Linked DNA regions of Drosophila melanogaster. Changing the gene in region 1 together with any one later gene gives a genetic interaction. Each region holds a gene or a part of one and is shown on either strand. Other genes may lie near its edges.

The links.
Region 2: of Itpr (region 1) and SERCA, changing one suppresses a phenotype caused by changing the other (phenotypic suppression), as found in Drosophila melanogaster (2 studies listed by BioGRID).
Region 3: of Itpr (region 1) and cac, changing one suppresses a phenotype caused by changing the other (phenotypic suppression), as found in Drosophila melanogaster (one study listed by BioGRID).
Region 4: of Itpr (region 1) and Rala, changing one suppresses a phenotype caused by changing the other (phenotypic suppression), as found in Drosophila melanogaster (one study listed by BioGRID).

Annotation. Positions count from the first base shown.
Region 1 is NT_033777.3:5,515,587-5,520,163, reverse strand, and holds the start of Itpr (inositol 1,4,5,-trisphosphate receptor), read right to left. Parts: upstream 3,048-4,577; 5' UTR 2,276-3,047; intron 1-2,275. Other genes in the region: Nmdar1 (NMDA receptor 1), read left to right, coding at 3,776-3,952, 4,024-4,146. UniProt on the Drosophila melanogaster protein: Receptor for inositol 1,4,5-trisphosphate, a second messenger that mediates the release of intracellular calcium. Together with MCU, has a role in oxidative stress-induced ER-mitochondria calcium transfer.
Region 2 is NT_033778.4:23,929,848-23,937,401, forward strand, and holds the start of SERCA (Sarco/endoplasmic reticulum Ca(2+)-ATPase), read right to left. Parts: upstream 6,038-7,554; 5' UTR 5,978-6,037; intron 5,834-5,977; exon of another isoform or gene 5,733-5,833; intron 4,238-5,732; exon of another isoform or gene 4,062-4,237; intron 3,894-4,061; exon of another isoform or gene 3,844-3,893; intron 3,598-3,843; exon of another isoform or gene 2,968-3,597; 5' UTR 2,938-2,967; coding exon 2,820-2,937; intron 2,745-2,819; coding exon 2,727-2,744; intron 2,642-2,726; coding exon 2,559-2,641; intron 2,483-2,558; coding exon 311-2,482; intron 252-310; coding exon 136-251; intron 72-135; coding exon 1-71. UniProt on the Drosophila melanogaster protein: This magnesium-dependent enzyme catalyzes the hydrolysis of ATP coupled with the transport of calcium.
Region 3 is NC_004354.4:11,982,073-11,986,888, forward strand, and holds the start of cac (cacophony), read right to left. Parts: upstream 3,016-4,816; 5' UTR 2,823-3,015; coding exon 2,605-2,822; intron 1,844-2,604; exon of another isoform or gene 1,764-1,843; intron 1-1,763. Other genes in the region: gd (gastrulation-defective), read right to left, coding at 3,711-4,224, 4,347-4,816. UniProt on the Drosophila melanogaster protein: Voltage-sensitive calcium channels (VSCC) mediate the entry of calcium ions into excitable cells and are also involved in a variety of calcium-dependent processes, including muscle contraction, neurotransmitter release, gene expression, cell motility, cell division and cell death.
Region 4 is NC_004354.4:3,716,596-3,721,599, forward strand, and holds the start of Rala (Ras-like protein A), read right to left. Parts: upstream 3,041-5,004; 5' UTR 2,768-3,040; intron 73-2,767; exon of another isoform or gene 1-72.

The DNA.
Region 1 (4,577 bases):
CAAGAGACCTCGGCCCACCTGAGCAGAAAAAACGTGAAGCACACAGATACTCACACAATCACACCAGACTGGCGCTGATGAGAACACTTTGCTTCTCATCCAGTCTGCTTCATTGATAACACCCGACCTCCGCATCCGAACAAACACACACACACCCTTAATAATTGCAGCCAAGTGGGCTGTGCACATCGGATGGGCGGGGGGCGGGCGCTTATATTTTATTTGCAGCTCCAGAATGTCGCTTACACAATTTGCCTGTTTATGTTAATTGCTGGCGCTCCCAGGCGCCAACCCCGGCCACTTTACCGCCCCCCCTTCCACAAAATCCCCACCAGCTGCTCAATTCAGCTTCGAATTATGCACATGCTCATGGCAAGCCCACATAAATTGGAGCAAACACACGATTGTGGTCAAAAAAATAAGCATACCTGAGAATCTTCAATGTGTTTTATTTATTTAATGTAATATCTTTGTGGTCAGTTTGTTTAAATGGTGACAAGTGGCAAAACTGAACAAATTTGGCTGGTTGGTAAAATTTATTGATTAAAAATCATGCACAAACGTTATCAGTATGTCAAATGCAATTATACGACAACTTTTGGAGAATTATCAACTACAGTTGAGGGATTCTGAGAGAATAACAAAAACAAATTGTGAATTTTTTAACTCTTTATATTAAAATTGATGACATCTGAATCGTGGTTAAAGAGAAAATAGTTGTCAAGTTCCAACTTTTTTTTTTAAATATACATATATAATTGCACAAAAACATAATAATCAAAAAAATTTTAATACTATACCGAACTAGCGTTTAAAAATTAGAATATATATGTACATTTTCTAGCCGGTTGATCAAAGTACCCGCAAATGACATCTCAATTGACTGGTTATCTTCAATAAATGAAACTCACTGCACATACTATCTATTGGTCCCATTGATTGTATAATTTAGTAATTTGTTCGACATTATAATGTGAATATAATTGATCGTAATTGTGTGATCATAGGCCCATTAACCCAATCATGATTACATGCAAATCAAGAAGTAGTGAAGTGCGCTCTTTCAATCGCAACAAAAAAACTTGGCCAGAGAGGAATTTGGCGATGAAAAGCCATTTTTTTACCCCAGGTAATGGAAATCATCGCGTGCAGCAGGCTCAACACGTCCACTTTTCATCCCCCTCCCCCATCTTTTTTGGTATCCCTCATCTTGCCTCTTACTCTATAGCTCGCCACCTGCCCAGTCAACACCAACAACAATGTGGCGCTTAATTAAGCACGCGTCGCCCAGTCAGCATCTCTCTTTCTCTCTCTCCCTTTCGCTCTCTCTCTCTTTTCCGCTGTCTGCAATCAAGATGTGTGCACTGAGAGAAAATATCGGCGCTAAGTTGATTTTCTCGAACGCAGATGCATTCAGTTCAGAGGACGTCAAGTGAGAAATTTCCAAAAGTGATTTGCATAACTTTAGGAACTGACAAAGAAATATTAGGATTAAAAAAATCCAAACTTTTCTCGAAACTGTGGGCGTGACTGTTTTGAACGGTTTGTGGGCGTTAGAGTGGGCGCGGACGTTGTGAATTAAACTTGCACATCTAGATTTTATAGATCCCGAAATCTCGATCTGATCAATAATATATGTATCCGGTATACCCTTTCACTCTACGAGTAAATACGAGTTTTAATTATGACTATGTTACTTCGTCATTATAATTCTTAAACACTCCCATTTGAAGAATTTTTGTATAACAACAAACAATCCCTCTCACCACAAAACAATTTTGGAAAGCATCACGTTCATATACATAGTGGCTTGAGTTGAAATCAACACTTGACTTCGGAGTTGATTCCCTAAGGATTTATTTATATTTTGTTTGAGTAGCTGGCATAGAACCATACCCCCGATAAGCAAATGTCTTCAATCAGTGGGATTTATATGTTTTTTCCTTAGCTTTTCTATTCGTGTAAGCAACAAATAGTGGCCACTGCAACGTAATTGAATCTCAGCGCATTTCTGGCCCTTTCGCTTTGGCTTATTGTCAATTATTGAGCGAAAGCAAGAGGCAAGAACGAAATCAAAATCAAGTGGGATCAAAAGGCGAGGGCGTGACTGCTAGATAATAGCTATCGCGGTAATTAGCCTATCGGTTCGGTCGTGATAGGCTTATTGCCTTATGACCTACTTAAATTGGTGGCAAGCCCTTCGGGAAACCAGAAAAACCAGTAACTGGGCTCGATTGGCAACAGGTTGTCGTTGTCGTTGTCGTGGGATACTCACCGTAGAATGTATGTAATGTAAAATATCCCTTGTAGAGATGTGCTACTGTATTGTGATTGGTATTGAATCATCCGTCGATAGACGACGATCGTAAATCGAATTTGACTTTATATTTATTTTATTCAAATGCAAACACTCGCGGGCACTCGAAAGAACTTAATATATTTTCACCTTGAGTGGGCCGCACTTAGCCGCGGAAAAGAGAGAATAACAATAAGTGGGAATACGGTGAGGAGGAAGAAGAAGGCCCAGAAACCACACACAATAACAATAACAATGCCGGGGCAGCGACGTCGGCAGAGGAGGTTTTGTCAATAAGAAATAACCGTTAAAACACGCGACAAACAATTCCGGCTGCGGGAAAGAGAGGCAGCATGCGATACAACGTCAACAATCGGCTCTCCCGACCCCACGATCCCGTTGACCACCCACAAGCAGCGCAGTCGCAGCGCAGCAGCAGCGCGGGCAAACAAAACGATTGTCGATTTCTACGCACTTTTCCCAATCACGCACACACACCCACACACGCACGTCGCGTTTAGGCCAACAAATTGAAATTGGCCAGCATTTCGGGCATAAATTACGCGCTCAAGGCGTATGAAAATGCAATTTTCCAGAGCGCCGCGTCATGCGCGACTTCGTGTACCGTACCGCTCAGCTCCTCCGTCTCCCTCACTCCAACGAAGTGCCAGCGCAGCGCAGATAAGGCGGACCGACGCGGAAAACCCCAGCGAAAACACGTCCGACTGAAAGCGCGGTCGAGCAACAAGTGTTTAAAAACCGTCGAACCATATGATCGATTAGTGTGACCGCGCGAAAAATACTAGTTAGCCGTTAATAAATGGTGTAATTGACATCTTAACTGTTTTATGCACACATATATAGAATTATTGACAGTAACACGTTAATTGCATTTACTATTGACAAGGAATGACATAAGCAAGTGTTTGAAAACCGCAGAACCAACCATATGATAAATTAGATGGGAGCGCATGGATAAAATACTAACATACTCTAAATACTAGTTAGCATGGCAGCACAGGGTAGAGATTTGAATCTTATTCAAATATTCATAGTTTTTTAGTCATCTGTGCTTGAAAATTCCAGATCAATGTTGATAGATTGGCCGAGGATTAAAATCTTTCCACTCATCGACTCACATACTTAGATTTTGCTTCTAATGCCTATTAACACAATGAAATGGTCACTCTAACGATCTTGCGTTGGTATTCATTTTTTCGCGATCTGGCATTACCACATATGTAAGAAAACACCGCGAATTCAAAGTTCTGCTTTTTCAAAAATGAGCAAAATAAACTTTAAGAAATCTTGTCTTTGACCATTCTCATTGCTGCAATGGGAAATGGAAAATGCCATTAATATGCGGCATCTCCCCTTTTCGACTTGCAGAAAATGCTGGATGTTTGCTCGAGAAACCATTGAAATCGTTGCACAAAACACCTCGTTTATCCTCCCCCAGAAACTATAGACTTCCGCATCATGGCTATGGCTGAGTTTGTTTTTTGCCGGCCATTGTTTGGGCTCGCCATTGTTCTCCTGGTGGCGCCAATTGATGCCGCCCAGAGGCACACTGCCTCGGATAATCCCTCGACGTACAACATTGGCGGCGTACTGAGCAATTCCGACAGCGAGGAGCACTTTAGCACCACAATAAAGGCAAGCCCATTGACTAACTGGATGCTCCACTAATCCGAATGCGATAATCACGCTTTCCCATCCAACCGCAGCACCTCAACTTCGATCAGCAGTATGTGCCGCGGAAGGTCACCTACTACGACAAAACCATCCGCATGGACAAGAATCCCATCAAGACGGTCTTCAATGTGTGCGACAAGCTCATCGAGAATCGGGTAAGTCGGTGGCCAAATGCAATTACCTGCTCATTTCCGACCATTCCTCCATCGCTTGAAGCTGCTCACATACTCGTATCTGTGTTTAACCCGACCTGGTTCGATTCATTTCCATAATTTAAGGGGAAATGATTCGGAAATGGGATGATGACAAGCGGTAATGCGCCAGCAGAATCCAATATCCATGAGCTAACCAACTGGAGCTCTTAGAGCGAAAGAGTGCTTAAATGTGCAAATTGAACTATAATTATACAATATTACTTTAAATGCGTTTTGTTGTTATGAACCAGGTTTGCAGAATGATATATAGAAGGAGTTTGTAGGGGTTTGGTTATTAGAAAGCTAAGATTTATAATCATAATTATCTTTTTAATTATTGATGGTCTTTAGTTGAGCTAAGTGATTTACAATATTGTCTACTATTTGGCAAC
Region 2 (7,554 bases), on another chromosome or scaffold:
CAGAGAACACGAACCACCAGGCGGCGGCACCGACGGTGGCAGCGCCGACATAGAATCCAATAGCCATGTAACTAAAAGTTCGATTGAGGCCAAGTTAATACCGATTAAAGGATGTGTGCTTTTTGAGTAACCCACCGGAAGAACAACCATCCGGAAATGAGACCCTCATCGGCCTTCCTGGGGGGCTTCTCCATGATATCCAGATCAGGGGGGTTGAAGCCCAGAGCGGTGGCTGGGAGACCATCAGTAACCTGTGACCAAGTACCTATTACTAACCATTTTAAGTAGTAAATACCCCATCAAGACGTACCAAGTTAACCCAGAGCAGCTGGACGGGAATCAGAGCCTCGGGCAGGCCAAGGGCAGCAGTAAGGAAGATGGAGACGACCTCACCAATGTTCGAAGAGATGAGGTAGCGGATGAACTGTTTCATGTTGTTGTAGATAGCGCGACCTTCTTCAACGGCAGACACGATGGAGGAGAAGTTGTCGTCAGCCAGCACCATTTCGGCGGCAGACTTGGCGACGGCGGTACCAGAGCCCATGGCAATACCGATCTCAGCCTTCTTCAGGGCGGGGGCGTCGTTCACACCATCACCAGTCATAGCGGAGATTTCGTTCATGCTCTGCAGGAACTCAACAATCTTGGACTTGTGCTGGGGCTCCACGCGGGAGAAGAGGCGGGAGCGGGCGACGGCAGCCTTTTGTTCGGTGGGGGAAAGGTCGTCGAATTCACGACCCGAGTAGGACTTGCCAGTGGTGTCCTCATCCTCGGCGAATACACCGATTCTGCGGCAGATAGCCTCGGCAGTGGCCTTGTTGTCGCCGGTGATCACAATAACACGAATACCGGCGGCACGGCAGCGGACAATGGAATCGAAAACTTCCTTACGGGGGGGATCCAACATGCCCACAACACCGACGAAGGTCAGGTTAACCTCATACTGGTAGAACTTGGTGGAGTCGCCCAGATCCATCTCGTCGGGCTTCATGGGGCTATCGGCAACGGCCAGAGCCAGGCAGCGAAGGGTGTCGCGTCCAGTACCGTACTGGCCGGTCAGGGCGAGGATCTTGGCCTTCAGGGCCGAGGTCAGAGGAACCTTGGTGGTGCCAACGCGGGCGTGTGTGCAACGCTCTAGAACACCCTCGGGGGCGCCCTTCACGAACAACTTGGGGCCAGTGCCCAGGCGGGAAGCCTTCAGGGGGGTGCAGTACGAGGACATGGATTTACGATCGCGAGAGAACTCCAGGGTGAATTCCTTCTTCCACTTGGTTTCGATCTCACCGCGGCAGGCGATGGCAGCCGAGCGGCGGTCCAGGCCAGACTTGTTCACGCTGAAGCTGTTCAGTTTCTCAGCCAGCACAATCAGGGCGGTCTCAGTGGCTTCGCCGACCTTCTCGAAGGCCTGCTTGAACTCATTGTAATCAATGGCGGAGTCGTTGCACATGATGCAGATGGTGGACAGTTCCTGCAGGGTATCGTAGTCAGCAGCCTTGATGCGCTGACCGTTGAGGAAGACCTCGCCGATGGGCTCGTAGGTGGAGCCGGTCATCTCGAATTCGAGGAAGCTGCTGTCGTTGCCTTCAACCTTGTCGAAGATGAACATGCGGGAAACGGACATTTGGTTGGTGGTGAGTGTGCCGGTCTTATCAGAGCAGATGACAGATGTGCAGCCCAGGGTCTCCACGGAGGGCAGGGAGCGGACGATGGCATTCTTCTTGGCCATGCGGCGGGTGCCCAGAGCCAGACAGGTGGTGATGACGGCGGGCAGACCCTCGGGGATGGCAGCCACAGCCAGAGCGACGGCGATCTTGAAGTAGTAGATGGCACCCTTGATCCAGGAGCCTCCGTGAGCGGGGTCGTTGAAGTGGCCGATGTTGATGGCCCACACGGCAACGCAAATGACGGAAATGACCTTGGACAGCTGCTCACCGAACTCGTCCAGTTTCTGCTGCAGGGGGGTCTTGATCTCCTCGGTCTCGGACATCTCAGTACGGATCTTGCCGATGGCGGTGCTCAGGCCAGTGCCGATGACGACGCCACGGGCCTTGCCGGCTGCGACGTTGGTGCCGGAGAACAGGATGTTCTTCTTGTCCTGGTTGACGGCGCGGGGATCGGGGATGGCATCGGTGTGCTTGATGACGGAGACCGACTCACCGGTGAGGATGGACTGATCGATCCTAAGGGTGGTCGAGTAGATGTGGGTGATACGGATATCGGCAGGGATCTTGTCACCGACAGACACCTCAACCAGGTCACCGGGCACGATCTCTTTCGCGCGCACCTTCTGGATGCCGGACTTGTCCTGGCGCACCACCTTGCCCATCTCAGGCTCGTACTCCTTGAGGGCCTCAATGGCCGACTCGGCGTTACGCTCCTGCCATACTCCCACCACGGCGTTGGCTATCAGGATAAGTAAAATAACTAGGGGCTCTACAAATGCAGTGAACGTTTCCTCGTGTTCCTCAAACAGGGCGAGAACCTGGGGATTGCAGAGGGGAAGAGTGTGGTCGTAACTAAGTTTTTGAGGGTGGGTTTCTTTGTGCTGCTGCACTTACAAATGAGATGATGGCTGCCAACAGCAGAATCTTCACCAGCAGATCGTCGAACTGCTCCAAGACCAGCTGCCAGATGCTCTTTCCTGTGGAATACAATCGTTATTATAATGTATGCATACAGTGAAGTGGGGGTGGGGGGCAGGGGATCTGCTCGGGTTGTGTTCGCACCTTCCTCAGTCGGCAACTCTGTAACGATAAGAAAACAAACACGTCAGTCGATTCGGTCTCGGAATGTGGAGGGGAATTACGCGCGACTCTCACCATTGGGTCCGTATTTCTTCTGGTTAGCCTTGATCTGGTCGAGGGTTAAGCCGCGCTCGGGGTCCGTTCCGAAGAAGTTGAGGGACTGTTCGACGGTTTTCGAGTGACCGTCTTCCATCTTGATTCGTTATCCTCTTCGTTCAGTGGCCTGTGTCCAGATTCCGGGGCGATTCAGGTGGGGATTTGAAAGTAGACACAAGGCAAGGGGCTCATTTTAATTCTCTGGCAGGGCTATTTAGCTATTTTGCCGTTTTCTGGGCTCTATTCAACGACTGACTGGAATAGCAAGTGTGTATGCACGTATGTATGCACATACATCTGTACTGGCATGTACGTTTGCAGTTAAAACTACCTCATTAGGTTCTGAATAAGTGGTCGTACATGTGCATGTGCACGGCACTCGGCTCACGGGTACTTTCCAACATACGCACATACACAGGTGCTACATGCTAATTCCCCGATTTCAGGCACTTCTGATCGGGCCCGGACTGGCCACTAAAGTCGCGCAGTTATCGCGCCAACTTAGGATCGGATTGTGCGGATCGGGTCGGAGAATATGCTGGAATATTGCATTACTATGATGGGCTGTTACCCTGGCCAAATCGCTCCGCTTATGAGATTCACACACGTGTCACTTCGCACAACAGACGCAGTTTTCGTTTTTCTATTCTCAGTTTCTGCGGGGGATTGGGGGATCTGGTCCGTAATACGGGTGCTCTGCTCCTACGTTAACCTCGCTAAACGACGCACTGCGTGTGTTAAGTACTTTTTTCCACTGACTCTCTATATAATATAACCCATGGCGCTTTTTTCTGAATATGTGTGCTGATAACTATTGCACTAAGTACCAAGCCGCGATTTACTGCCTATCGCCGTTCTGCCTCACTATGACACGACATTATTCGCACAAGACAGGGCTGACTGAAAACGTATATCGTCCGAGTTACGTTATTTGTGCAGAGCTGCCTCTTTCTCCAACTTTTAAGAATTCTCAGTCCTGGCAATTATTAGATAATTATCCCACCTTTTAGCTCAGCTTCTACTGACGCGTTCAATTTGTGCTACTAAACTGCGATAGCCGGCGTTATCGATAACTGAGAATCTCAACTGCGATGGCTAACTGTTGAGTTTCCGTGTTCAGTAATACCGATAGCTGAGGTGATATAGGAATTTAAAACTAATCAAAGTTTCGAAGGAATTCAGCTGTGCTGGAAAGTTTCTTTATTGGAAAATACCTCTAACCTTATAAATCAAGTTGTTATTGCGATCGAAAACCAAATGTTTTTACTCCCTTCTGTGGTGTAAATCGAACTGAAATCCTTATCACGAATGCTTAAACTTATTTATACATTGTCATATTTTCACTTGGCAAGCGACAGAGACATCCGCACTATTTTGGCCACACAACAAGCAACACTATTCTTTTCGCGCATTTTGTGCTCAAATTAATGAGATCGAGATCAAGAGCCCGCAATAAATAGATCTGGGTGCCAGGTATTCGCCAGCAGCGACATTTTTAAATTTTAATTTTAATCTTTTTCGCGACCAGACACTAGAATCAGGCCATACGGGGAATTTTGAACGGCAGCCAACTCGCATAATACTTGAATATTACGCTGGCTACGTCACAGAATTACATACGTAACTTCTGATAACGAGGTTTCCACCAGTTGCCCGCCCACAAAAGGCGTTAGTTTTCAAAAAACTGTCAATCAATGCGCTCGAATACTACTTATATTTTGAGCACAGAGACGTGTGTTTCGAAAACATCTTCATGCATATAGCCTATATATACCCCTAAAATACACATGTGTGTGTGCATTATGGAGCAAAAAATCGCCTCTGTCCGAGATGGGCTAAAAATAGAGTCCTAGCACCCGAAAAATACAGCTCAATTCTGAACACTCGTAGATATAAAGATATGTACTAGGACCACATAAATAAGTTTGAGTACATATACAGAGAGACGATCGTAGGGAGAAAGATTCCTATTCTGCGCGGTTATATGTACGATTTAACGGCTTATGATATTGCGAGCAGAGATATCTCCATGCTAATGGATGTCGACACTTGTGCGATATGCTGCTTCCCACGTCCCCGAATCCGAATTTCTGATTGACAAGTCCACCGATGGGTTGTATAATAGTGGGTGGGTGGGTTCAAAAATAAGTACAAATGATTGGGCCATGATCCTGGGCTGAATGTACTTATAGAGCTACACGTTTCTGTAAAACTGTCTGTTGGTTTCAGGGATCTTTTGCAACTGAAAGGCAGTCAAATTCACTAACCGATGTAACCACCATTAAGCTATGAATGCGGGTAGTTAAGGAGTTCAAGAGATCGTGTGTTCTATGCTTGTTACAAGGGCTACAGGTACAGTACAAGACATGGATCTTTCGAATTTGGGTACGAATATATTCGCCACGGTTGCGGTTGTGGTTGCATAACCAGATTTTCAATCACAGATACATAGATCTCGGGCACTTGGAAAACTTTACATCTGTGTCGGATCGAATCTATTCGTGGAGTGCTCTCGTATTGGTGACATTCAAATTTTCGATACCATCCGGAGGTCGAGGTCACCGCCGAATCGTCGCCCTTACGGATATTTCATGTATGTAGATAGATCGAACTACGAGCTCTGGACGAGCTCCAGGGTGGCAAAGTAAACTGGGGGCAAACACTTTGAGTTTGAAGCACGGTTTTCGAGTGTAAGAAGCATGTTCGTATGTAGATATGTAGGCATTTCAATAACTTTTGGTTTCCAGGTTTTCTTTTCTTTTGAAAGCGCGCGGACGAATTTTCGATAGTTTTTAGGGGGGTTTATTTGCTTTACCCAATGGTTTTGGCAGTTTGGAGTAATTCACTGGCGTATTCGCTTTGCAGTTGTTGCAGAAAATCAACAAAACTTACAATTATTATTCCTAGCAAAAATTCCGTTATTATATAATAATTTATTTCAGTCGGAAGACCAAGACACAAAGATCGCGCTATTATAACGATCAACGGCAACTGAACGCAAGGAGAACGCTGCGCGATGAGAGTGTCTATTTGAATTACAAAATTCATATATTTTGGCAAAATTCCCAAAACTACATACACTCTCTATTTTGGCCCGGGAAAATACTTTTAGCACGCACAAACTTTTGAGCACTTACCACCTATCCAATCCAATCCAATGCGATCCGAATTCGAATGGTGGCGGTTCAGATCTGCTCGTGCAGCTCGTTCGTACCTCGACGAGGCAGATTCACCGTGGTCCCCCAGAGATTCGTATATGTGGCTAGGTATAGGTGGGAATACCACAATACCACGGGCACACGAGCTCCCCATCCACATACATACATACGTACATATGGCCGCCCGATCTCGGATCCGCGGGAGCGCACGGCCACGAAAGTCTAGAGCAATGGCAATGTGGCGATGCGAGATCACTTGTGGACGTGGATGTGGTTGTGGATGTGGATGTGCCTGGGAGTGTGAGTGCAGACGTATTCCGAGAAATGCACGTGTGTTTGTCTAATATTTAGAAAGTGGTATTTTTAAACCAATCTGGGGAAATTATGCTGGGTTGTGTGGAAGGGTTTGTCACTCAAAGGTGTTTCTACCTTCGGTGTCAGCCACTTCAAGTGGGTCAAGACTTGGGTCCTTTGGTGGGGGGATGGTTGGGAATGATGGCACTGGCACTGACGCATTCCACTTTCGCCGAGCTAGAATCCATCATAGTTATCCATAGCTGCTGCCCTTTGAATATTTTACTTGTCCTTGGCAAATACAACAGATCCCAAATCCCAGCCCAAATACTCATTTCCTCAATCTAGTTGATCTCGATCCATTAACAGCTGAAAGAGCATCCACCAGTCGGCCTGCGAACCCCTAGTTCTTCGTTTGGCTTTTCTGCCTTTTTCCCCAATTTCAGCAGAGACTGGCAGCCGTCGACTATTTTTATTTATAGGCTTGTAATGCCCCTACGGACTCGGACTCTCAGATATTGGCAAGAGCGCTCTCCGCACACGTTTCTGCCGTATGATATCCGCCATCAGCCATCCGCCTTGTGCAGCAGCTATTACGACTTTTCACAGAGACCCCCATAAATATGCATTTGGCTACTATTTTACCTCTATATGTCTAGGCCAGAACTTTTATAAGCTACCTATGTGTATATTTAAAAATGTTGATAAATGACAATGCAGCCAGGAATTTTGATTTATTTTGGGACTGGCAAATCTGGGTTTGATGCGGTTGTCAACCGCTGGATATTGTCTATTTAGGAACTCGGTATATGGTAATGGTTCCAGATTCCAGCAATCTCAAGCAATCAAGCGAAGTGATCATTTAAAAACAAATACAAACTGCAAAATAATGTTTTTTAACACTTAATTGCCTTATAAATGATAACTTTTATTGCATAATGCTCTGGCCAATCTTCCTTTATAAAAAAGGGATATTAAAGTAAAAACAGGCAAAATATATTGAATTCAAATGCATTTTGAATCATTTCATCAATCGGCAAAACACTACTTATGCTGCCTCTTATTACACAACCATTTGCCAATTATTCATTTTTTCATAATTTCAAATTGCGTAATAACAAAGAGAAGACATCGCCACCCTTAACATCAGATCAATCACCTAGCCAGTTCCTCCTAAAATCTCTACGTCACGAAAGTATTTAGGTCCAAAAATAGAGCCACAACTGAAAGTTATCACATACATTACTATTTACTTGCGTTAA
Region 3 (4,816 bases), on another chromosome or scaffold:
ACTCTTTCTCTTTGGTTTCAACAATCACTGGGTCACACCGATAACGATAACATCGCAACCACAAATCGCTTGCCTACTTTTAAGGGCCCAGTAAATCTGGTTGCATTTGCATTTAAATTAACTATTGCCCTATTTTGAATAGTTCATTTTCAATTGCGCAAAGCAATGTCTTTTCTTTAAAAGCAATTCTTGTTATTTATTGCAATTGTATAGTTCCAGCTCTATTTTCCCTAGTGACGTCACCAGGCACAGTTGTCTGAAATTTTTTTTTTTTTTATGTTGACGATGTCTTTCGGAACGATTTTGGGTTTTTGGAATGGGCAGAAGCTATATATATCTGTGTGTCTAACTACAATCGGGCCACAGTGAGACCAACGAACCTGTAATTGCCAAAAATAAACAGCAACAATGACACACTTGCCATCGTTGCCCCCTCTAAACTAACGCTTTTTGTTATTTCTTTTTTTCTGGAAACTGTTACACTTTTAATTGGGCTTAAAGAACCAACTAACTGAAATTTGATATGTCGTTATAAGTTTAGTTACAGAGCACACGACTACCACAATATTTGTTCATATGCTCGCATTCAATTCCCCATACGAGTATTCATATGAGCATTGTTAAAAGAACAGAGACAAACAAATTTTTCACTTCCGTGAAGAGAGGAGAACCATCATTAGAATTCGTTTCCGGTATGGAAAACATATACATGTGTAGATTTGTATGTGTGTGTGTGGGTTGGGGAATTTACGACTAGTAAATATTTGTGTGGACTGAGAATATAGTTAATTTAAATATTAATTTGGGGGGTGCTTCCTGCTACATCGCCGCAATTCATTCACCTCGAAAGTGCGTGTACACGTCACAAAAATAAACGATATACCGATAGGCTAAAAAACACCCGAAAACTCCATATCTCCTTTTCCTTCTCCTTCAGCTTTAGCTTTGGCTTTAGCTTTTCCTTTCGCCTTTGCTTTTCCACTTGCCTCTTGCCACATCCACTTCCACTTCCATCCACCGCAATATATAGCACCACCGACGCAACATTCCGCCCGTTGTGCTACCGACCCGCTGACCCAATCCCAACAACTATGTATATATATATGGCTATACATATATATGTATATGTATATGTATATGTATATGGATATGTATATTCGTGCGGGTGTGTTGGTGTGTGTGTGGTGCGTTCGTGGGGCTTGTTAACTTTAACTTTTACAACTGGTTTTTAAGGATAGCTTCGGTAATTGGGATTTGAAACGAACGCATATATATATGTATATGAATGTGGCTAAAAATAAAAATTAGATCTGGTTGCCTGGAGGAGCACAATCAGAGGTCGTTTATTGGCTTCAGTAAGCCCGAATAATGCTTTTCACTTGGTTTCCCGATATCTTTTCTTGCTATTTTTGCTGTCCTCGCCGCCATTGTCGCCAATTCGACGTTTTGCCATTGGGTTTTTCACGATTTTTCACGATTTTCACGCTTTTCCGACTATATTTCTTGTTCTTGGTTTGGATGTTTGTAGTGTTATTTTCACCACTCGACCCGAATTCGGATGCCAGCGCACACAACATTCGAAATGTGGAATTTTCACAGCACTTTTAACCCCGCATTGCGAGTGATTTTCACTTGATTTCTTTAACGCCAGGCTTCTGTATTCAGCCACATTTTAGTTGTCGCACATTTGCTGTTAAATTGACTGGGTCCCGAGTTAAAAATAAAAAACAAAAACCGCTTCTACGGGAGCTGTCACCACCGACTTTGTCTCACCAGTTGGACGAAAAACTCAACAAAACGCAAGACTTCAACTCGGCGACTTTGTATCACATACTACCACATCGCCAGGGTCCAAACACACGCACAAAGGGCAAAAATATGGGGAAAAAAATCTACCAGCCCTGCGCTCTGCATCCGCCCGAAAGCTCTGGTCCAAGCTTCAGTTCAAGCTCAATCGGACAATCGGAGGTGGACACACTGGCCAGCCAGTGCGGAGGAGAGCGCATGCGTGTCCTCCAAGGAAACCCGCTCCTAGGACCGTTACAGTCGTCGATTGAGCTTTAAGCTCCGCTTGCTCTTCACCCCTTGGGAACAAAACTATCGAACTTTCGAGAAATCGCGGTTTTAAAATCCGGGCTTAAATCATACTGCTAAAGTTTAAAAAAAAAGCGAAGCGACGAAGTTTAAGCTACTTACCCATTCTAAGAGTTTTTTTTTTAATTGATTTAAGTAATTGATTTACTACTGCCACAATTGTTGATAAAGCTTTAAGCTTTAAGAATACTTTCAACCCCTTGTAGTAAAAACTTTTGCATCAAGATATCGGTTATTTGAAAACCCGGCTTTAACCGAATTACAAATGATCAAAGGCGCTCTCATACTTGACCTAATTAATTAATATATAAAACAAACAACATATTTTACTCTATTTCAGACTTAATTTTATCTCTGTACATTTCAATAACCCTCGTCAATTACCTTTGCATACTATCTTTAATAATAATGAATTTTTACCAATTTTCAATACTTTTCTAAATATCAATTGATCTTTTAAAATAATGTTAAGTTTAAATAATTTATATTTAAATTGGTAGTGGTACTCACATTAGGTCGCCTAGATTCGGTCGCGTCTGGACAAGAGCAAAACTTTCCGGAGCCCGGCGCCTTTTGTTAGACCCTTGCGAGCCGTAGTGCGTGCTCCGCCGGATGACGCCATCGCCGATGATGGCAATATTGTCATCCAGACCGTTGATGTTGCTAATGGTCAATCGCGCCATAGGAGATGAGCCCCTTCGGCGACGAGCTCCCACTCCGCCCAGCATTCTGGGAATCGATGAATCGAACTTTGCAATACGCGAAATGTACTCCAAATATTGCCATTTCTGTAATATATTCACTACCAACTATCGGGCACGTTCACAATACAATGCGTTGCACTTGTTTGGGGATCTTCAACGATTGCGAATGTCCGTAGACGACGGGCCCAGAGCCCCAGGTGTGATGCACCAGCTGCCACGGTCCGGACGGAACTGATAGTCGATGGCTACGACTGCTGTCGATGCCCCAACAACCCAGCAAGATAGATAACGGCCCAGATGGCGATGACGACGATTGCGGCTGATGACGTGCGATGACGTGCTTGATAGTAGTCAGCATTTGCGCAGTACAGTGTCTGCCGCTGGTAATTAGGGTGTCCAGGTGTCCATGGGTGAACGCCGCTCAGACGGGCCAGGCCGCCCACTCCGGCATATTAGCAGCTTCCTTTGTTCACGAGCGCCAACAACACACTGATAACAAAGGCATGGTAAACGTTACTGTATTACAATTAATTTCGATATCAAACATACCTGTGATTCTTTCAACATACACGTTTTCTATATGTGGTCAGAGGAATTTAAACATTGCAAATTTCGAGATTTTTAATGTTAATATTATGGTGGAGATCTAAAAGCGCAGCGATTCTATGGGAAAATTCCTTTTTGGCTTTCCCGTGCCATAATTTATTATTTGAATTGCCCTACTGTCTTAGATAAAAATAAAACTGAAATGCCATAATCAGAAGTTTTCGTAATGAAACTAGCAAAAAAAAAAAAAGAAAAAACCGATAACCGCTAATTACTCCGAGTAACTTTTGCCCATCGCCATGCCCAAGGGGCTATTATCACAGCGCTCACTTAGAAATGCGTTCCCATACACATTTCGGATGTGATTCAAATTACAAAGGCCGTGATCCAGTCCAGAAACTTGGCCACGTCGGCATATATAATGTACTGATTCTTACAGCAAAGCTTATGGCTAGATTCCGCATCCGGTGTCTCTACGGCGGGCAGGGCCGCTGATACTGTGCCACGCAGCATCCAGCGATTGTTCCGGCGGATGAAAAGTCCGGCCCCCGATATACCGGTGTAAATGCTCGCCCCGCTCTGATGCGTATCTCGTTCCTCCGCCTGGATGCCGGCGCAAAACGTTCGGTTTGAGGATAGGCTGCGAAAGTGGGCATTGGCTCGAAAGCATTCGGCATTGCCGACAATGGGAGCCTTTACTACCTTGGGTGCACTGGCATCGGTGGACTTCTTGCCCGGTAGCTCCGACGACAGCTTCTGATCCCGCGTCCTGTTCGTTCTGTCAAAGCTCCAGCCGATGACGATGCCCCGCTCGCCCACAATGTACTCCGTTTTGCTGGAACCAGACCACAGGCAAGCGGGTCGAATAAAGGTGTTAAATCTGCGTTGAAAATAATGGTATACTGTCAATATAATAAATGATCTTCATATTCGATTTCACATCGCGGTTTAGATATGAATCTAAATCTTGAATATGTAAGCTTTAGGCATATTGGCACCCACCGAACTTCGTCCTTGAGTATAATCACTGCGATATCCGCATCGTAGCTGCTCAGCTGACTGTTAAAGTCGGGATGAATGTAAATGCCATCGACGGGGGCCGCCAGAGATCCCTCCTCGTTCCAGTTCTTCAGATTGTGGCGGCCCAGAAAGACGAGCACCTCGTTGGATGTGTAGCGCTTGTTGAACAACTTGAAGCAGTGCGCCGAGCTGATTACAACGCGTGCCGAGACAAGCGAACCGCCGCACTGAAAGTCCAGGGAGGTCAGGTTGTTCACATAGATGGCCGCTAGCCAAGGCCACGATCCCCTGGTGATCGATGGCAGGCTATCGGCGCTATCGCTTTCTATCGCTTCTGCTTCTGATTCGTCCACAAACTGATGCTCCAGGACATCGTCTTCATCGTCATCGACAAAAACTGGCGATGTGATGCCATCGGAGCTCTTTGGTTCACCGATTGCGACATGAAGTGA
Region 4 (5,004 bases), on another chromosome or scaffold:
TGGCTCAGACTCATTTACAAAGTGTTTTTATTTGGCCGAGCAAGTTTGATCTGCCTTTGCAGATAGCGATACCTAAAAAAAAAAAAAAAAAAAAAACTAAAAACTTATTTCACACCGAGTGGTATATGAAAAATAGGTACATATATGTACGAACAATGCGTGGGAAGTGTTTTCTGAAGCGAGGAGAGCATAATTAAAACCTAGGCATAGTCAGCTGTGATAAAAGATCTTGAAATGCGATGGAGCAACAACAAAAGCCATGGGGAAACACTTGAGAGCCTGGGCATAAAACAAATAAAACCTGTATAAGGCAAATGTGTTGAGAGAACTTTGGAGATGCTGATACGATGATGTAACAAACTAAAGTCAGCTAACAAATATGTGATTGCGCGCGCGACTTTGTCAAGAATCGTTTGTTGGAAGAAATCTCAAGATTTTCAAATGTTAAATGCTTTACAAACGGATATCGTAGATCGTTGGTAACGGGCGATTAATCATTTAATTGGAAAATAACAAAGTCATTACACGTATTTAATGCACAATTCATTGATAATCAGGTATATAAAACGTATTTTGAAGACATTCGGCAGACATATTTGGCCATTATGGACAATTATCATCAAGTGTGTATAACTTTTGCATTAGGCCAACATTATTATTCGTAGAAAACAAACTTTAATGTTGGCCATAATGGACTTGGCCTAGAAGAAACATAGAAATAGAACCCATTTCCGTGATTTGTCTCCCTTGACAAAACTCCATTAGAAGTGAAATTAGAGCAAATCACAGCTTGATGGCTATAAATTAGGCTAAGTTGGCCGACTTGCGCTATCTTCTCCCTTCTGGCCAAGTTAGCAAACATGCCGGAGATGCCGAACAAAAGATGAGAAAACTACATATATACCAAAAACTGTGTCACTGCGAAAGATCGTGAAGATTATGAGTCAGTGTTTTCAACTCTATTGTTAATCTATTCTCGCCTGCCAGAGAATTATATTTGAAAAGGTCAGAGGTGAAACAGCTAACAAATTGCTCGGCTATATCTTGCAAATAATGTAAGATTTTGTTTACACTTTTGATAACGATTAAATTTCTCTGGAATATGAATGGCTCATATTCTACAGACCGATCTGAAATCAAAACTGGTTTCGCATTTTGTAAATAATAAGGCAAACTACACAAAGAGCAGTTATTGATTATTTAAGCACTCAGTTTTAAAGGAACTGAGAACGCATTTTTTTTTGACATACTTCAGCTATTCACTTCCCCCCGTTCGCATTTCGTTCAATTGGTGAGAGCTTTTAACGCCCCTTGGCAACCAAACAAACAAACAAATAATTAGGAAATGTTGGTGAAAGGGGGAAAGGGGTCAACACATACGATTAAGTGAGTCATAGATAAATGAAATTATTCAATATAAAACAAGCTGGCACTCAAATTGATCTTGAACTTGAGCCTAATTAGAAACTGTAAAACCATTTTTCTGTGTCACGTTTTTCAGTTTTCCTCATTTGCTTTAGGCGTGTTGGATAAAAAGATGGAACATTCAGATGCGCATAAAGTTGAAGCGGATTAACTAACGATCACCATCATGATGATCTAACGCTAATGTCAAAATGGTTCTCCGATTAGCAACAGAACCCGAAAATCGGCACGTTCGTGGAGATAATGAGAAATGGGGAAAGGGAAAGATGGTAGCGGAAAACGGGTCACTGTGAGAAAATAACGCCACAGAGCGAATGCCATCAAAAGCGATCTCACAAAATAACAGAGATTAAAACCAGACACCGTTTCTGCGAATTTTCTTGCATTTCAAACGACAATTTTCGAGTGCCAAAGAAGGTTCTTAGAAATTCGAAATATGTGATTAATGAAGAAATGTGCTTAATAAACTTGTCATTTAAAAAAAAACTCAACTGTATTTAACTGTTGGTTAAATAATATTTGTATAATGTTAAATTATTACTAATACTTGGGAAAATTCGGCAAATGTTATTTAGAGCGGCGTAAACGAGATCCCAAAGCGGAATTGGGATAAAGAGAAGTTTAAAAAGCAAAGGGGCGATGGGGGCGTGTGCGTGCTTGCTTGTGTGTGTGTGTTTGTGTGTATGAGTCAACGCGCAAAATGCGGGCGGCGACTGCACCTTGCACACCCCGCAAAAAGAGAGGGCGATAAAGCAGGAGAGAGCGGCAGCGAGAGCGAGAGAGAATAAGGTCAAGCGGGGTGCGGCAACAAATATTTCTGCTGATAGCCGTTGATAAAAGGCTCTCGCCGCCCTTCTCCTTTTCTTTCTCTCTCTCTCTCTATCTCTCGCTCTCCGTGTGCTCATCAGTCCGCTCCTTTCCTTTATTTTGCTGAATGGAGCACACACACAAAAATGCCAAGCGCAATACCTTTTATTTAGTTTACATTTAAATATTCAACAAAGCAAATAGCAGCAGAAAGATTTCACTGCTGAGTTTTTTTTTCACCTCTTGCTTTGCTCACACACATATACACACACACACACACACATCCACTTTCTTCGACGTCGACTGCAACGCCGGCAGCGGCGCCTTTTGGCGGCTTTTACAAATTTTGTTTATGAAACAAAAAACCCCTGTGTATATTCCTTTCTGGGATTTCATCGGTGTATACACCCAGATAAAAAGAAAGAATCTTTCCACACGGCAGACATCATGAAGAACAACATACGAAATATGCGTAATCACTCTATAATGCTTTAGCTGTAAATGCTTTTGCTTCTCTTTCCTCCTTTTTGCGTACTTCGTTTTCTTCCTTCCTTTTTATTGTATTTTGCGCGTCCGCTTTGGCCTGTCGCTTCGTTTGTTGTTGCTTTGCTGTGTTATCTCGCACTTGATGCACTAAACTAAACAAAAAAGTTACAGGCGCGATCGGAGAATCGGCAACTGATGAATTAACAGGATCGGAACGCAACAGTAAATTGGCTGCTTTTCGGTTTCTCTTCTCGTTCGCCGCACACCGCAATTAAAGTTCCGTTGGTTTTGCTTGCTTGAAAGAAACTAGTGTGAAAGTGGAAAAATACCACAGAGGTGCACCAATGTGACCGCTCTGCCATCGATCAATTATACCAAGCACAAGCATCACTAAGAATAACACAAAAATACCAATAAGTTCCGTCTTATATTGAGGTGGGTGTGATCGCTAAGGCTGGTGGGTGTACTCGCTTTGCTGGTTGATGTACTCGATAGGCGAGCGAGCGAGTTGTGCACTCGCTGGCGAGCGGTTTAAGTATCCGATAACTATGGTTGGTGCACACGCTAAGTAACAAGTGACCGCTAAACTGCTACTTTAACAGACACAACTGTGCATGTTAAGCGCACTCATCGTTCCGCCAGATGGCTTCTTTGCACACTCGTTTCGGTATTTTTTTTACACCAACTTACAGTATATTTTTAGGCCATTTCTGCGTGTGTGCGTTCGTGTGAATATTGTGAATATTTTTTTTACTGTGAAAATAGACAAAAATCGGCTGTGGAAAACCGAAGTAAACACATTTGGGAATCATGGCGATTGGCCCTTAACCTTAACCCTTAAGTGTCGTGCCGACAGTGCCACGCCACAAACCCAAATCCCAAAGAAACAAAAGCGAAAGAAAAAAAAAAAAGAACAACAAAAAGCTATAGTTGCAGCCTCTGAAAGTTTAAGACAATCGCCGATCCGATCGGAAGCGGAAGATATATGCTCGCCACACCAAATGGCATGGTAAACACCTCTCGTTCCTCTAAATGTGATGTCGATGTCGGAAAAGCCGTAGAAATCGTACAATTCCTAAAATCGCAAACTTAACCTCGCAGCGTTGTGTGCAAAAACGGAGAGGGGTGGGGGGGAAACAACGGAAAAAAAAGGCAACGCAAAGCAAAGCAAACGAAAAGCGAAGCGTGTGCGAGCGAGAGGCGAGTGAATAGCATTGTTGTTATTGTTGTAGTGACTTTTATTTTATCTCAGCCGGCGATTTAATTCTCTCGCACTCACACATATTCACGCGAATAAAAGTAAATTCAAATAAATACACTCGCAAAAACAAATTGGCACCGGTAACAATTCAAAAAAACTTATGCACATGTGTGTATGTGTGTGTGTGTGTGTGTGTGTGCACTTAGGAGCAGTTGGAGGCGTGGCATGTGTGTATGCCAATTAGTACGGCTAGTTGTTGGGTCGTTCATTTTGCTCCTTCCCGCTATCAGACTCGCTCTTTGCCCTGCATTTTCTCGCCGAGTGCAAAAGGAAAATAACAAAAAACCTCACTCCAATTGGAGATTCGAGATGCCGATCTCTAAAGCGCAGGCAGGGCAACAACAAAAGCGCCAAGAAGAAGACGGAAAAGGGAAAGATTCGAACTAAAACCTATTGGGATTTCATCTTGGAACATTAACCCTTAGGCGGGCTGAAATGTTGTTTAAATCATATTGAGAAATTTCCCAATAAAAGCGTATTGCATTTAAAAGGATGCCAAGTTTTTCAATTATACAAGTGTAGTTTATGAGCGTGTTTTTAATGAAATACCTAAACATGGCCAGGTTTTGGCAAAACCTCTGCTTGCATTCAATTATAGCACACACAATTATTTCACTGAAACTCAATTGATAATACAATACATATTTGGTAATTTCTTGTTTGCTGCTATGAGCAAAACAAAAACGTTGATAAGATGAAATGCCTTTAGATAGGGGCCTTTATATAAGCCACACAGTGCGTGCTAAAAATATGCATGTGGCAAATTAGTGATATTAAATTGTTATTTATTAATTTTTTCAGATGAATTTGTCACTTTATTATTGCCATGGCTCTGACAAATCTTGTCGCACTCGTTGCCGACATTTGCAATCGATCAATATTAAAATATTGAATAACTAAACCAACCACGAGCTAAAAGAAAAATTTCAGAAAAACTTTTGTATCTGAATCGAAAACAAAAAAAAAAACAAATTCCTATCGGCGCTTATAATCACAAAGTAATGGATCAATTTCAAACTTCACTA